Ovis aries: one gene and its partner. Each later gene encodes a partner of the first gene's protein in a complex. Links are inferred from orthologs where the notes say so. Each region holds a gene or a part of one and is shown in the gene's direction. Other genes may lie near its edges. The genes, in order: HEATR3 and RPF2.

Region 1 (7,319 bases):
CTAACCATCCCATCCTCTGTAGTCCCCTTCTCCTCCTGCCTTCAATCTTTCCCAGCACCACGGTCTTTTCCAACAAGTTACCTCTTTGCATCAGGTGGTCAAAGGACTGGAGCTTCAACATCAGTCCTTCCAATGAATATTCAGAGTTGATTTCCTTTAGGATGGATTGGCTTGATCTCCTTGCAGTCCAAGGGACTCTCAAGAGTCTTCTCCAGCACCACAATTCAAAAGCATCAGTTCTTCAGCGCTCAGCCTTCCTTATGGTCCAACTCTCATGAAATAGCTCATTATTCATTTTTTAGCAGAAATGTTAATTTCTCACAGGAAATAGTAATGAAATAGATCCCAAAGTTCTCCCTGGGTTTAAGGTTTTGAACTTTTTTTTTTTTTTTACTCATCCCTACAGTGGGAGAAATAGCAAGAATCTGTCTCTCCCTATTCTGTCTAGATTGCTTGCCCTACTCTTTCTTGATTCAGTTCAGTTCAGTCGCTCAGTCATGTCCGAGCTTTGTGACCCCATGAATCACAGCACGCCAGGCCTCCCTGTCCATCACCAACTCCCAGAGTTTACTCACACTCATGTCCATCAAGTCGGTGATGCCATCCAGCCATCTCATCTTGGGTCATCCCCTCTCCTCCTGCCCCCAATCCCTCCCAGCATCAGGGTGGTCTCTATTCATTTAAAAAAATGGCATGCTTATTTTGTGCCAGGTTTTGGCCAGTGTTGAGAAGACAGTGGTGTGTTAAAACAGGCAGTCTTATCCTCACAAGGTTTAGTGTGCGGTTGGGCCGAGCATGGGCATACTTGTAACTTAAATTTACTTGTGTATAGTTGTAATTTTGAACTGTGCTTTGAAGCAAAGGGACAAGATAAATGTCATCTCAAGAGAGATCCATCTCAGACTTCAAAATCAGAGGAGGAACCTATGAAGCGACTCTTGCATTCACCAGGACATGGGTCAGATCTGGGGCTTGCCCAAAATTCTAAGGCAGGGGAGAGGTTGGCCCTTTGGAGGATGGCTAAAGGACTGGATGCAAGAGGTGACGAGATGAAGCTGGAGGCTGGAATGAGACACTGCAGCCAGCCAAGGTTTTAATCCCTGTCCTAAAAGAAAGTGAAGCCACTGAAAGGTTTCAAGCAAAGGAATACATATGAGAAAGTTGGAAGGATATTCAGTTTGGAAAAAAAAAATCACTCCAGCTGCTCTATAGATGGGCAGACTGGGAAAGACAAGGCCAGAAGGCCATGGGGTCAAGACAAGAGCAGACAATAGCCTGGACCAGGGAGGTATGCAGATCAGTAACCAGGTAAGAGATCTAGGAAGTTAAGGTTGCCAATGTATGTCTGGGGTTTCAACTTTTCCTTATACCTAAAGCTGGTCTTTGATAGACATGAGCTTCTGTACAACTTTAGTTACACCTTCATGATTATTTTCCAAAATATACTAAAGTAGTTAATCATTTCCCTTACTAGAAAGTCAACTCTTTGAGGGCAGGGTTGCATGGAGTGGATCTTTTCTCCCATACATTGTTGACCTGCAAGCTATGTATCTATTGGGTGCTCAATATATACACATAAAGAGTACATAAGATTCTCCTATACCTTTCTCCTTTCTTACTACTTACCATAATTGTAATGAAATAGTTATTCATCACCTCTCACTAAACTGTCAACTCCATAAGGACAAGGGTAGGGTCCATATCTGTCTTGGTTATTGCTTTATCTCAATGCCCCACACTGCACCTGGTACTCAGTAAATATTTGTGAAAGAATCCTTCTGTTAAGTGAAAGTTTCAACCACACATTTATATCATGCTTATTTTGTGCCAGTCTCTGTCTTAGTATCTTACAAACATTAGAACAGTTTTTCTCACTACAACTCCACTGGGTATATATTATTAGTATCCCTATTTCACTGATGAGGAAACTGAGGCAGGAAGATTAAGCAACTTCTTAGGGAGTCCATCTTATGGACCAATATATGGACCTTGTCTAGGACAGGACCTGGACTAGGCGCAGAATAAAATCATAGTTAATATTTTGGGGCACTAGTGGTAAAGAAACCGCCTGCCAATGCAGGAGATGCCAGACATGGGCGCTTGATCCCTGGATCAGGGAAGATCCTCTAGAGAAGGAAATGGCAACACACTCCAGTATTCTTGCCTGGAAAATTCCATGCCCGTGGGGTCGCAAAGATTTGGACAGGGCTGAGCACAAAGGATAGGACAGGATAATATTTTTGAGCACCTACTCACTCTTGAGAGTTCCTTGGGCTGCAAGGAGATCCAACCAGTCCATACTAAAGGAGCTCAGTTCTGGGTGTTCATTGGAAGGACTGATGCTAAAGCTGAAACTCCAATACTTTGGCCACCTCATGTGAAGAGTTGACTCATTGGAAAAGACCCTGATGCTGGGAGGGGTTAGGGGCAGGAGGAGAAGGGAAGACAGAGGATGAGATGGCTGGATGGCATCACCGACTTGATGGACCTGAGTTTGAGTGAACTCCGGGAGTTGGTGATGGACAGGGAGGCCTGGCGTGCTATGATTCATGGGGTCGCAGAGTCGGACACGACTGAGCGACTGAGCTGAACTGATAATATACATATCAGGTTTGGAGTTAGGGGCTTTACATGGTATTTTTTTTTTAAGCCTCTCACTAAGGTTAGGCAAGTTAGGTACCCTTAATCGCCCTCGATTATTATGGAAATAGGTAAAGGTTTGGCAGATTCAGTTTCTTGATAGACGTCACTAGCTGAGGAGAGGCGGAGACAGTATCATCGTTCAAACCTAGCCTTTCCTCTTCCGAGCAGGTCCCCAGGACCTGCCTCTCCGCAAGGCCTGGCCCCGCCCACCATCCTCTCTACGCCTGCGCGCTCCCCGCGGCTGACCCCGCCCCCGCCGCAGACTCGCTATGCGCACGCGCAGTGCTTCTCCATGTGGGCGCGGGCCGTCATCCGGCCCAGCTGAGCAGTGGCAAGTAAACCCCTAGGTTGCAAGACCCTCCTGCCTCGTCTTGCTGTTCCCCTCCTCTCTCGGTCTTCCCACCCCCCACCTCCACCACAGCGGACTTCGCAATGGGCAAGAGCCGGACGAAGCGCTTCAAGCGACCTCAGTTCTCGCCTACGGGCGACTGTCAGGCCGAGGCGGCGGCGGCGAACGGGACGGAGCCAGAGGAGGACGACGGGCCAGCGGCGGAACTGCTGGAAAAAGTGAGGCGAGGGCTCGCCGGGGCCGCGCGGGGACGGGCGGGGGAGCAGGCGGCGCGCAGAGGCCCCCAGCCGTGCCGCGCGCCCCTGCCGCCGCGCCCCTGCGCGTGCGCTCTGCTGTCCCCCTGACCACTCGCTCTGTCCCGCAGCTTCAGCACCCGAGCGCCGAGGTCCGCGAGTGCGCCTGCGCGGGGCTGGCCCGGCTGGTGCAGCAGCGGCCGGTGCTCCCGGGCCTGGCTCGCCGGGACGCCGTGCGCCGCCTCGGGCCGCTGCTGCTCGATCCCAGTCTGGCGGTGAGGGAAACGGCGGCCGGCGCACTGAGGTGAGCAGGGAAGGGGGATCTGTGCTGGTGCCCTCGGATCCGGGCATCGGCGTCCAGCCAGCGCCTCCTGTGCACCTGGTACCGTCGCTCACGGGTTTCATCCTGAGTGCTCTTGTCTGCGGCACAGTTCGGGAGGGCCAAGAACTGGCTATGCTCTCCTGTTTGCAGAGGAGGGATCTGAACTCAGGCTTCGGATTCCGGAGGACCTCATGAGCCCCGGACTACACGTATTCCATCTGTCCGCCTGACTGCTTCAACTGCAGTAACCATCTGCCAAGCGTCCTCTGCTCAAGGCTTATTAACGCACGTTGTACCCTCCCCAAGGAGACTTCATAGAGTCCTGAGGTTCGGTGAACTCTTCCATTGTATGTGCCAGATTTTCTAGACGCGAGGGATTTTGAGAAAGCAGAATACTGAGCAAGACAGCCAGGATCTGCGCCTTCGCAGAACCATGTTGATGCAGAGACAGGGAACTAGTAACCAGATGAAACATAATATTAGGTTTTAAGAGGTGGTATGGAGAAACCAAGAAGGTGATAGCCGGAGGTGGGGAGTTACTTTAAATTGGATAATCTCTAGATAACATTTGTGAGCTAAGAGCTGAGGTAGCCTGGAACCAGAGGTGGACACACAGGGGAAAAGCATTCCTGACAGAGAGTAGCAACAGCAGAGGGCTTGGCACGGTTAAGGAAAGGGAAGGTTATGTGGCTGAGCAGAGTAGAGGGTGCACATTATAGGGATTGCGGCTGGAGAGACAGATAAGGACTCAGTGGTGCAGAGCTTAAGGACCTATTCTAAGCCAGAGTGACTAGTCTAATTTACCTTTTCAAAAGGGCTGGTAGCTGCACTGAGAATGGACTGTAGAGGGGGCCAGAGTAATGTTAATATTTGTAGTTCTCATAGCTCTGTGTTTGTTCTGTTTCATTCATTAAATGTAGCAGGTTTATATTGAGAGCCTGCAGTGCCAGGCAGTGGGCTAGTGGGAGTGAACAAGACACATAATTTCAGTCCTTAATGGATCTTACAGTATTGAGGGAGGCAAGCATTATGCAAATAATCACGTAAGTGTGTAATTACAACCAATGATGTTTACAAAAGATGCTATGAGAAGGGGTTTGGGGAAGAAAACTAAGGGCATGATGTTTGAAGTGAGATCTGGGGGATGAGGGGGAATTAACCAGTTGATGGAGAAAACAACATACACTGGGAGCTCCTGGAAGATGGTGAGACATCTTCTCATTTCTCTTCATAGCCTGAGTGCCTAGCACAGTGCTGTGCACTCGGAGGGTAAACAGTGTCTTCACAATGAAAATTAAATGTAGTCAGAATTGTTTCAGGGAAGGTCATTCTCAATAGCCTCACCCTTCCTATCCTTGAAGTCTTGATTCCAGAAAAAGGTCCCTTCATACAAGATCAGGCAGGAGAATTCCCTAGCAGTCCAGTGGTTAAGACTCCAAGCTCTCACTGCTGAAGGAGCAGGTTCAGTCCCTGGTCAGGGAGCTAAGATTCCATAAGCAGCATGGCATGGCCAAAAAAATAAATATCAGGCAGTAATTGATTTACATTAAATAGGAAGTCTTCCCTCTCGCTGGGTGCTGCCTCATTCCTGAGAATTACATTGTTACAAGACAGAGTCATCTGTTTAGTTCATGTAGAGCAAGGATCAGAGCAGGTGGAGTTCTGTGGATTGGTTCTGCAGCGTCTTACAGAAATCGTAAAGCAATTTCAAACGGGAAATGTTAAGTATGGGTAGAGATAGAAATAAACTTGAGCGCTTAGCATGTTTTTTGGCATGTGATCTGAAGCGGGTGTGTTTTAAACTTCTTGTGTAGAAATCTCAGCGCTTGTGGCGGTTTCGAAGTTTGTGATGACATGGTGACGAAGGATATCATGACTCCACTGGTTGCCCTTCTGAAAGAGGTATGCCACTTTCCCAAATCTCTGTTAGTGCACGCACTCCAACAGTTTGGGGTTTTGTCTTATTTCTAAGTACTTTGGTGTCATTTTGTCTTCCCTCAAAACATTCTGTAGGAATTGTTTCTTTTCCTGGAAACACTGATCTCTCATCGTTGACACTAGTCTCTAGTTTGTCCCCGCTACCTTTATTTATCTGCTTGTTGGAAAAGACCTTCCTAAAAGTATAGACTGTCTCCTTTAGACGTCAAACTTCATAGGATGAAACTAATTTGTATTTATTCGATGCTTAATTATGTGTCTTGTGTGTTATTTTCCTGAATCCTCAAAGCAGTCCTATTTGGCAGGTATTCTTTGTTATTCCTGTTTTACAGATGAGGAAGCTCAAGCATGGACATTAAGAATTTGCTGAGAAGACTAGATTAAGTTTTCAAATTTTCTAATGTGCCTCCTTTATTGCAAGATGCAGTTCAGGGATTAAGGAATTCTCCCCCTGTCATGCCTCTGGTCCACTGTTCTGTATTGATGGGTAGTTTTCACTTGAGGCCGTAGGAGGAATATCCAGGTTTGATAAGAGACATCATCATCAAAGGGACAAGACCTGTTGTCCCTTTAGAACAGTAATTCTCGTAGGGGTGATGTTCCCCACAGGGAACATTTGGCAATGTCTGGAGCCATTTTTGATTGTCACAGCTTTGGAGGAGGGGTTGCTACTGGCAGCTAGTGCATAGAGGCCAAGGATGCCGCTAAGCATCCTACACTGGGCACAACAGCAAAGTGTCCCACGTGCACCACAGCAAAGAATCATCCCGTTCAAAATGTCAGCAGTGCCAAGTTGGAGAAGCCCGATTGAGAGGATGTCATGGATTGTAGGAGGGGGCAGAACTGCAGAGGGATTCAGAGCACCCACTTCAGAGCCAGGATGCCTGGATCTGAATCCCGCTTCACTAGATACTAGGCTGCACCCTCAGCAGGCTCTCTGTACCTCAGTTTCCCATTTGTAGCAGGAGATTGGGGATAATAGTTCATCTGCATTATAGGTCTCTGGTGACAATTAAATGACTTAATCGACATGAAATGCTTAGAATAGTGCCTCATGCTTAGAAGATGCCGTATAGATACTAGCTTTTATTATGGGTTATTTTTCTTTGTCTTATATATTATCTTGACTACGTTAAATTAAATATTTTGTATTGATTTTACATTTTCACTTAAGATGTGAAATGCTTTGTATCCAGCTTGTACAGTGACTTGTGAGAACTTGATGGGCTGGTGTTAACTGTCATTTCTGATGTTTCGTTTTTGTGATTCTTCACTGCCGTTTGCATTTCTTTGTGTTTATTCTTTTGAACAAAAGTGCTAATCATGGTATTTGGTTACAGTGTAGTACTGGACTGGATTCAAATGAGATGTCCCCTCAGAAAAAAAAAGATGAGAACAGAAATTCTATTGAGAACATAGCCAACGAGGCTGTAAACGTGCTGTGGAATATATGGTAAGATGCTTTCCAGATGCAGCTTGCTGCCTCAACACTACTCAGGCTTCTGCTCTCTCTGTTAAACTGCAGAGGAATCTCTGTTCTCCTTGGTAGGCCTGTACATCTGTTAATGCATCTGTTAATGCTTGCTAGGCGATCTCGTCAAGTGACCTAAGATCAACTGTCCTTCCCAAGCCCTTGTCCTCCTAGCATCACTGTATCTTTTTTTATTTTTTTGCCTTTCCACGTGGCATGCAGAATCCTAGTTCCCTAACCAGGCATTGAACCTGTGCCAGTGCTTCTTGGAGTCTTAACCACTGGACTACCAGGGAAGTCCCACTACATCTTTCCTTGCTTTACAACTCTTCTATCCATTTATTGCTACTGATAGAAATAAGA
Region 2 (6,801 bases), on another chromosome or scaffold:
AGTCAGCCACTGTTTCTACTGTTTTTCCCCATCTATTTGCCATGAAGTTGCTGGTTAATCAGAAGTCCGCAACATACAGCGGAATATGCAACATACAGCACTTTTATTGGGTTATGGATGCACTAAATCTCTCTTGGTTTGAAAATAATGTGTATCTTTATCAACCAGTAAATGATTAGAAGCTGTATATGTGCTTGATATTTTATCGGGAGGAGAGTTTTTTAAAGTCTGTATGGTACGGTATGTGTGTGTGTATTGTTTTTCTTTTCCATCCCGAAGTGTACATGGAACCGGAAGAAGGCAGGATCATAGTTATTTAAGAGAAAAATTATTTCTGTAGGTGGCAGATGGGAAATCAAGAATCTCACTGTAGTGTAAGTGGAGGTGAACAAGGCAGTGTATAAAAGCCTTCTACTCCATGTGACAGAATACAATCAGAATAATGAATTTGTTTCCCATATATAGTATAAGTGTGTATGTGTATGTATATGTATTTGGCTGTGCTAGGTGTTTGTTGCTGTGAGGGCTGCTGTCTCCTTGTGGAGCTCCGGTACCTCATTGTATTGGTTTCTCTTGTTGCGGAGTACAGGCTCTAGGGCACAGGAACTTCAGTAGCTGCAGTTCCTGGGCTCAACAGTTGTGGTGCCCAGGCTTAGTTTCTCTGCAGCATGTGGGATCTGCCCGGATCAGGGATCGAACCTGGGTCTCCTGCATTGCAGGCAGATTCTTTACCTCTGAGCCACCAGGGAAGCCCCTGTTTTCCTTTCATGTTTTGCAGGATGCAAAATGTAGCTCATTTTGAAGACTGGCCTACATGCCAAGCTGTGTGGCTTTGGACAGATTATGTCAGCTGACTCATCTGTAAAAGATTAGGCCTTAATAGACTAACTGTAATGAAGTGTCAGTTGTTATTATTCTCAGTTGGTGGCAACAGTATTTGACTTTATCAGCAATGATATTGGAGTGGGACATTGGATACTTCCTGGCAGGCATTGTGGTCTTATACCTGGAGGAAAGATAAGAAGTAATTAGCCTCCCTATGCCCACAAGTTGACTGGCAGTTGGTTCATTGTGTTCAGGTGCAGAGTACTGGTTTGATTGCTTTAAGATTAAAGAAAAAATAATAGGGTAAAAATAGCAACAGTATTCACTTGAGTCCTTGTTTTTTTAACAAAAGATTTAGAAAACAGTAATAGAATGCTGGGAATATAAAAATGGAAGTCTTTTTAAATACCAAATGTAATTACTGCATTTACTAGTAATAACTGAATATATTTTATTAATATTTCCCCCAAAATGAGATTTTGTGGAATCCTAACTAATAAATGTTATGTAATATCTCTTTGATATTTAAGAATTTGTATGTAAGTCTTGGTTTTGTGATATGAGGAAAATGTCTTAAGTTGTTATAAATTGTGATTTTTTGCAACAGAAAACCCAAAACAAAAAGAGCCAAGAGATTCCTTGAGAAGAGAGAACCAAAACTCAGTGAAAATATAAAAAATGCTATGTTGATTAAAGGGGGAAATGCAAATTCAACAGTAACACAAGTGCTTAGAGATGTGGTACGTATATTTATATATATACACACTTTTTAAATGGTGTTGAAATCATTTTAGAAAGTTTTTAGTATACTAACCTTTGCCTTTGCCTTGCCTTAAGAAATGCTAACCTTAGAAAAAGCCTAAAGTTGGAGATTGTTTGCTTTGCCAAGGAACTGACTGCTGGTTTTCCTTCCAGCTCCCTTAGTAAATTTCACCTGATTTCAATGATTGGAATTTGATTTTGTCACATTTCAAGAACATATCTAATTTGTAAAATGAGCTAACTGCATATTATATCCCTTTATTTTTTTCAACAGTACCAACTACTGTACTGGATGCTGGGGATTAATATTTATATAAGACATAATCTCTCCCTTCAGTGAGCTTAGTGAGAGAGTAAGAGTTAGAGCATTGTGAGTGATGTGCTGTGCTGGAGGTATGCACGGAGTAGGATGGGAGTCGGTCAGATAGTCAGTTCAGTTGCTCAGTCTTTGAGCGACTCTTTGAGATCCCGTGGACTGCAGCACACCAGGCTTCCTTGTCCATCACCAACTCCTGGAGCTTACTCTTAACTCACTGTCCATCGAGTCGGTGATGCCATCCAACTGTCTCGTCCTCTGTCATGGAGTAGGATGGGAGGCTGAGTTAAAATCCCATGAGGGTTGCCACACAGGGTGGGCTTCCTAGAGGTGACAATTAAGCTTCATTTTGAAGGAGTTGAAATGAGAAGAGGAAAAGGAAGAGGAAGAGAAGGGCTTCCAAGGCTGAGGCAAAAGCTTGTGCACAAAGGGAGTGTGAAGGAGCATGATACATTTGGGGAATTGCAAATAATTGGGGGTGGTTAAAGGAAAGCAGGCTAAATGAAGCTAGAATTTAAGGAAGTGAAGGGAATCATTTAAATTGGATAGAATATTGAAAGGGCATAGAAATTTTTAATTAGGAAAGTCCTGTGTCAGAATATTAAGCTTGTGTTGGAAGTTATATGTGATCAAAGGGGAGCCATGCAGAAGATATCAGAATAGGATTCAGGAGCTAGGATAACCTTGCATAATGACTGTTACAGTGCTTCACTTTTATCTCTGCTTTTCAGAATATGTTTTGTTTTGAAAGCTATAAATTATGTTTTACAGTATGCACTGAAGAAACCGTATGGCATTCTGTATAAAAAGTAAGTATGATTTCTTTTACTTATTTAATTATATTGTTTCATTATAAAAGTAACAACCAATCACTTTATGGGAGACTTAGAAAAATATTTTATTTAAAAAATATTACATTGCCTTACATACATAGCTATGCGTATTTCAAAACTTACTTCTTTCCCATTTGTGTATTCATTTGTACTGAACATTCTTACAGAGTTGTGATCATAGCATGTATGTATTTCTTTGAAATAGTAATGGACTTACAGAAAAGTTGCAAAAATACTAGTTCCCTTATACCCTTCTCCCACATCTCTTAATGTTATAACTTCTGTAAGCACAGTTATCACAAGTAAGAAATGAACATGGGGACAGTAATTTATACACACTTACTTTTTAATCACAGGCTTGATTTGGTTCATGCCAGTCTTTTCATTAATATTCTTTTCCTCTTCTAGGATCCCACATTGTGTTTAATTGTCATGTCTTCTTAGTCTCCTCCAATTTATGACAATTCCTCAACCTTTCCTCATCTTTGATGACCTTGACACTTTTGATGAGCACTTGTCAGTTATTTTGTAAAATATCCTTCAGTTTGGACTTGTCTTATATTATGAATAGATTGAGATTGTACATTTTTGGCAGTAATATCATAAAAGTGATGTGCCTTTTCAGTATATCTTACCGAGGAATATTTGATATCTTCTTACTGGTGGTGTTAAATTTGATTAAAGTGGTGTCTGCTAGATTTCCCCACTATAAAGTTGCTGTTGATATTTTCCCCTTTGTAATTAACAGATGTTTAGAGGAGATACTTACAAGTTTTCAAGTAATCCTAGTTCTCCACAAACTTCTGCGCATTCATTTTAGCATCCACCAGTGAACCCTGTCTACAGTGGTGATCTCTGTGGTGGTGCAGTGGTTTTCTGTTTCCCTGCATTCCCTCTGCATTTATTAATTGGGATTCTGTGATGAAAATCAGTCCCTCCTTCTCCATTTGTTTAAATCACTTATTTATGTCGGTGTGGACTATATATTTATTACGTTCTTTGGGGTTCAGTGCTGTCATGATTTATTTTGTTGCTAAATTGTTCTCTTTGGCCATTGGAATCTCTGTCAGGTTGGCTTGTGTGCCCTTTCAAAGTGCCCCTGTGTTTGAGCACTTCCTTTCTGGCATCACAAGATGCTCTAGGCTCATCTTGCAGCTTTCATTGCCAGAGCCCTGGAATCAGTCCTGGTTCCATATATTGGAGAAAGATAACTTAGAAACAGAGATCTGGGCATTAAGTATGGTCAGTTGCTACTGGAGTGTCATCAGTCCTCTAGCAGACAAGAGCTTGAAAATGTACATAGGTACATTAACCTATGCATGTATGCACGTCTGTATTTGTTTATATTTATCTATATATTTTAAAAGCCCTGAGTTGATATTGATATTTCCTAAAAATTCATGGGTTCGTACTACAAATTTCAGTTCTACTCCAATACCAGAGACTTCATTTGAGCCTTTCTCCTTTTCTTCTTTGTAATTTCTGTCTTCTATTTACTTGTGAATTGCTTTTGGCTGTTAATCATAAATGCTGCAGTAATTTTTCCTTTTGCATGATTTTTCTAAATAATTTTTTATTGATTATAAAAGTAATATATATTATCTTAAATAATTGGGATAAGAGTAAATAATCACTCATAGATAAACACTGTGTATATTTTCTCCTCATGTAGTTTTGTGTCTATACATCTTTTTTTTTCTTTAAACAAAATTGAGATCATGTTGTATATATGATTTTTTTCTAAGTTGGTAAAAATTATGAACTGTATTATATTTATGTGACTAAAAATTCAAAAATATACAGTGAAAATATAAATATGCACACACTCTCCTTAGAACAACCAGAATCATTAGTTTTTTGTGTATCTTAGCAGAATTTCTTCATGCATATTTGAACAAACCTTTTGCGTGGGAAGATAGCATTCTACATTTCTCTATCCACTGTCCATGTCCACTGCTAGCACTGCTGGCCCAGCCCCCCACTTTCTTTCTCTCCTGGATTACTGTGATAGCTGCTTACCGACCTCTTCACTCTTGCTGTGCTACATTCCCTCCTCACATAGTAGGCAGATCAGCCCTTTAAAAAGAACATTTGAATCCCGTCATATCACTCTTGTCTAAAATCCCCCTGTGCTTCCTGTTACTCTTTTAATAACCTTCATTCCTTACCTGAACCAGCAAGGCCCCACACTTTCTGGACCATGTCTTCATCTTTGACCTCATATCCCACCATTAACTCTTTGCTCATTAAGTTCCAGTGATGTTTGTTGCTTTCTGTTTCTTGAATAGTCTACACTTGTTTCCATCTCGGAACCTTTTCTTACTTGGTTCCCTCTTCCTAGAGTACTCTTAACCTCAAAACTCTTCCATGGCTAACTCCTCATTTGTTGGGTCTCAGCTCAAATAATCGTTTTCCATTCTTCATACTAACACGGTGCCCTGCTTTATTTTTGTCACAACACTTAGAACTTTTTGAAATTGTTTACTTTTCCTCTAGAATGTAACTTCCATGAAAGTAAGGATCATGTTTGACATGGTATTATGGTATCCCTAGCTCCTAGAACAGTGCTTGGCACTAAATAAATATTTGAATGAATAAATATCTTCCAGCTTCTTTTTTTGATCATTTGAATATATAATTATCTTTATTTAATATTATTACCTTATTGTTATGAGTGAATTGCTTATTAAAATTACAGTCACTTTTTTTTAAAACATTAGGAAAAACATTACAAGGCCATTTGAGGATCAGACATCATTGGTAAGTATAAGAATCTCTGATTTAAGAGGGCATACAAGTGATTATTCACCCTAATTCATTTAATTTAATTGTAGTCCTAACTTATGACTTTGAATTAGAAATCATCCTGTGTTACAAAATTTTGATGCAATATAAAGGGGGAATAAGACTTTTTTATTTCCAAAAATATTACTATAGATCTTATGCTTCACTATGGATAGTATGTGTTCATTGCCTGCATGTATATTGATAGAATTTTAAAGAGTTAATTATACTTTAGGTGGATAATTAATGGATTGTCCAAAGGATTTTCGTTATGGATGTTTTTATAATGCAAATTTGATTTTTAAAAAGTTTGCTTTTCTTTTTTCGAATACTTTTAAAACAGGGAGCACGACCTGACTTTTTGCGAACCATGAGAACATGACTATGTTCTCTTGGCAGGAATACCATTGCTCGTCTCATTTGGTTGTTTGCTGCGTGGCACGTGGAATCTTAGTTTCCCTGACCAGGGGCTGAACCCACTGCGCCCCCTCTGTTTTGGAAGTTCGGAGTCTTAACCCCTGAACTGCCAGGGAAGTCCCATAGTTTGTTCTTTTAGTTAGTGAATTTAATAGGAAAAGTTTTTTTTAATAGAATCTCAATGATTACTTAAAAAACTGAAATTGAGCATCTTATCCTAATGTGGCATCTAACTGCAGTGAAAATTACAATATATTAAGAAAAGTATTCTCAAAATAAATGTTGTTTTATAATTAAGTTGCTTTTATCACAGTCTTGAATTTTTCACAGTCATTTGTTGAATAGATCGTGAAAGTAAAAATGTATATAGAGTCTAGCCCAGAATTCTATCTCTTCTATACATGACTTATCCAGGGCTGGTTTTATTTTGTAATACCATGGTGCTTTTAGTTGAGTGGTCACTGTGTAGAAGTATTATGTTGTAGAATCTGTAGCATTTTTTTTTTCAATTTAATGTTGATAGGACATTTTTTCTTACACTTGAAATTATGGCTTTTACCCTCTTTGATCTTCTACTTCCAGAAACAGGAGATATTTCATTGGCTGTAATAAATTTCATACTGCTAGAGCTCCAAATGGTTGTGGAAACAGTGGTCATGTTAGAAATTTGGTTGATTTCCTCCTGACTGCCCATCCCCCAGTAGCACACTTCTTATACTGCAGTCTTGGAATTGTGCACAGGAGCTGGGGAATATACTTCCTGTGGGCTGAATCCCTGCTTCTCTGAGGCTCACAAGCTAAGGTGGTTTTTACATTTTTAAAACTTTTTTTTTTTTAAGTATATAAAAAGTCTAAAACATTTAT

Evidence for each region.
Region 2: HEATR3 (region 1) and RPF2 share a complex: the UniProt entries of both Homo sapiens proteins name them as parts of the hexameric 5S RNP precursor complex. The link is inferred for Ovis aries from reciprocal best matches to the Homo sapiens genes HEATR3 and RPF2.

Annotation. Positions count from the first base shown.
Region 1 is NC_056067.1:18,013,080-18,020,398, forward strand, and holds the start of HEATR3 (HEAT repeat-containing protein 3), read left to right. Parts: upstream 1-2,922; 5' UTR 2,923-3,075; coding exon 3,076-3,210; intron 3,211-3,356; coding exon 3,357-3,529; intron 3,530-3,715; exon of another isoform or gene 3,716-3,874; intron 3,875-5,361; coding exon 5,362-5,449; intron 5,450-6,825; coding exon 6,826-6,938; intron 6,939-7,319. UniProt on the Homo sapiens protein: Plays a role in ribosome biogenesis and in nuclear import of the 60S ribosomal protein L5/large ribosomal subunit protein uL18 (RPL5). Required for proper erythrocyte maturation.
Region 2 is NC_056061.1:26,670,774-26,677,574, reverse strand, and holds part of RPF2 (ribosome production factor 2 homolog), read left to right. Parts: intron 1-1,432; coding exon 1,433-1,565; intron 1,566-2,674; coding exon 2,675-2,712; intron 2,713-5,456; coding exon 5,457-5,496; intron 5,497-6,801. UniProt on the Homo sapiens protein: Involved in ribosomal large subunit assembly. May regulate the localization of the 5S RNP/5S ribonucleoprotein particle to the nucleolus.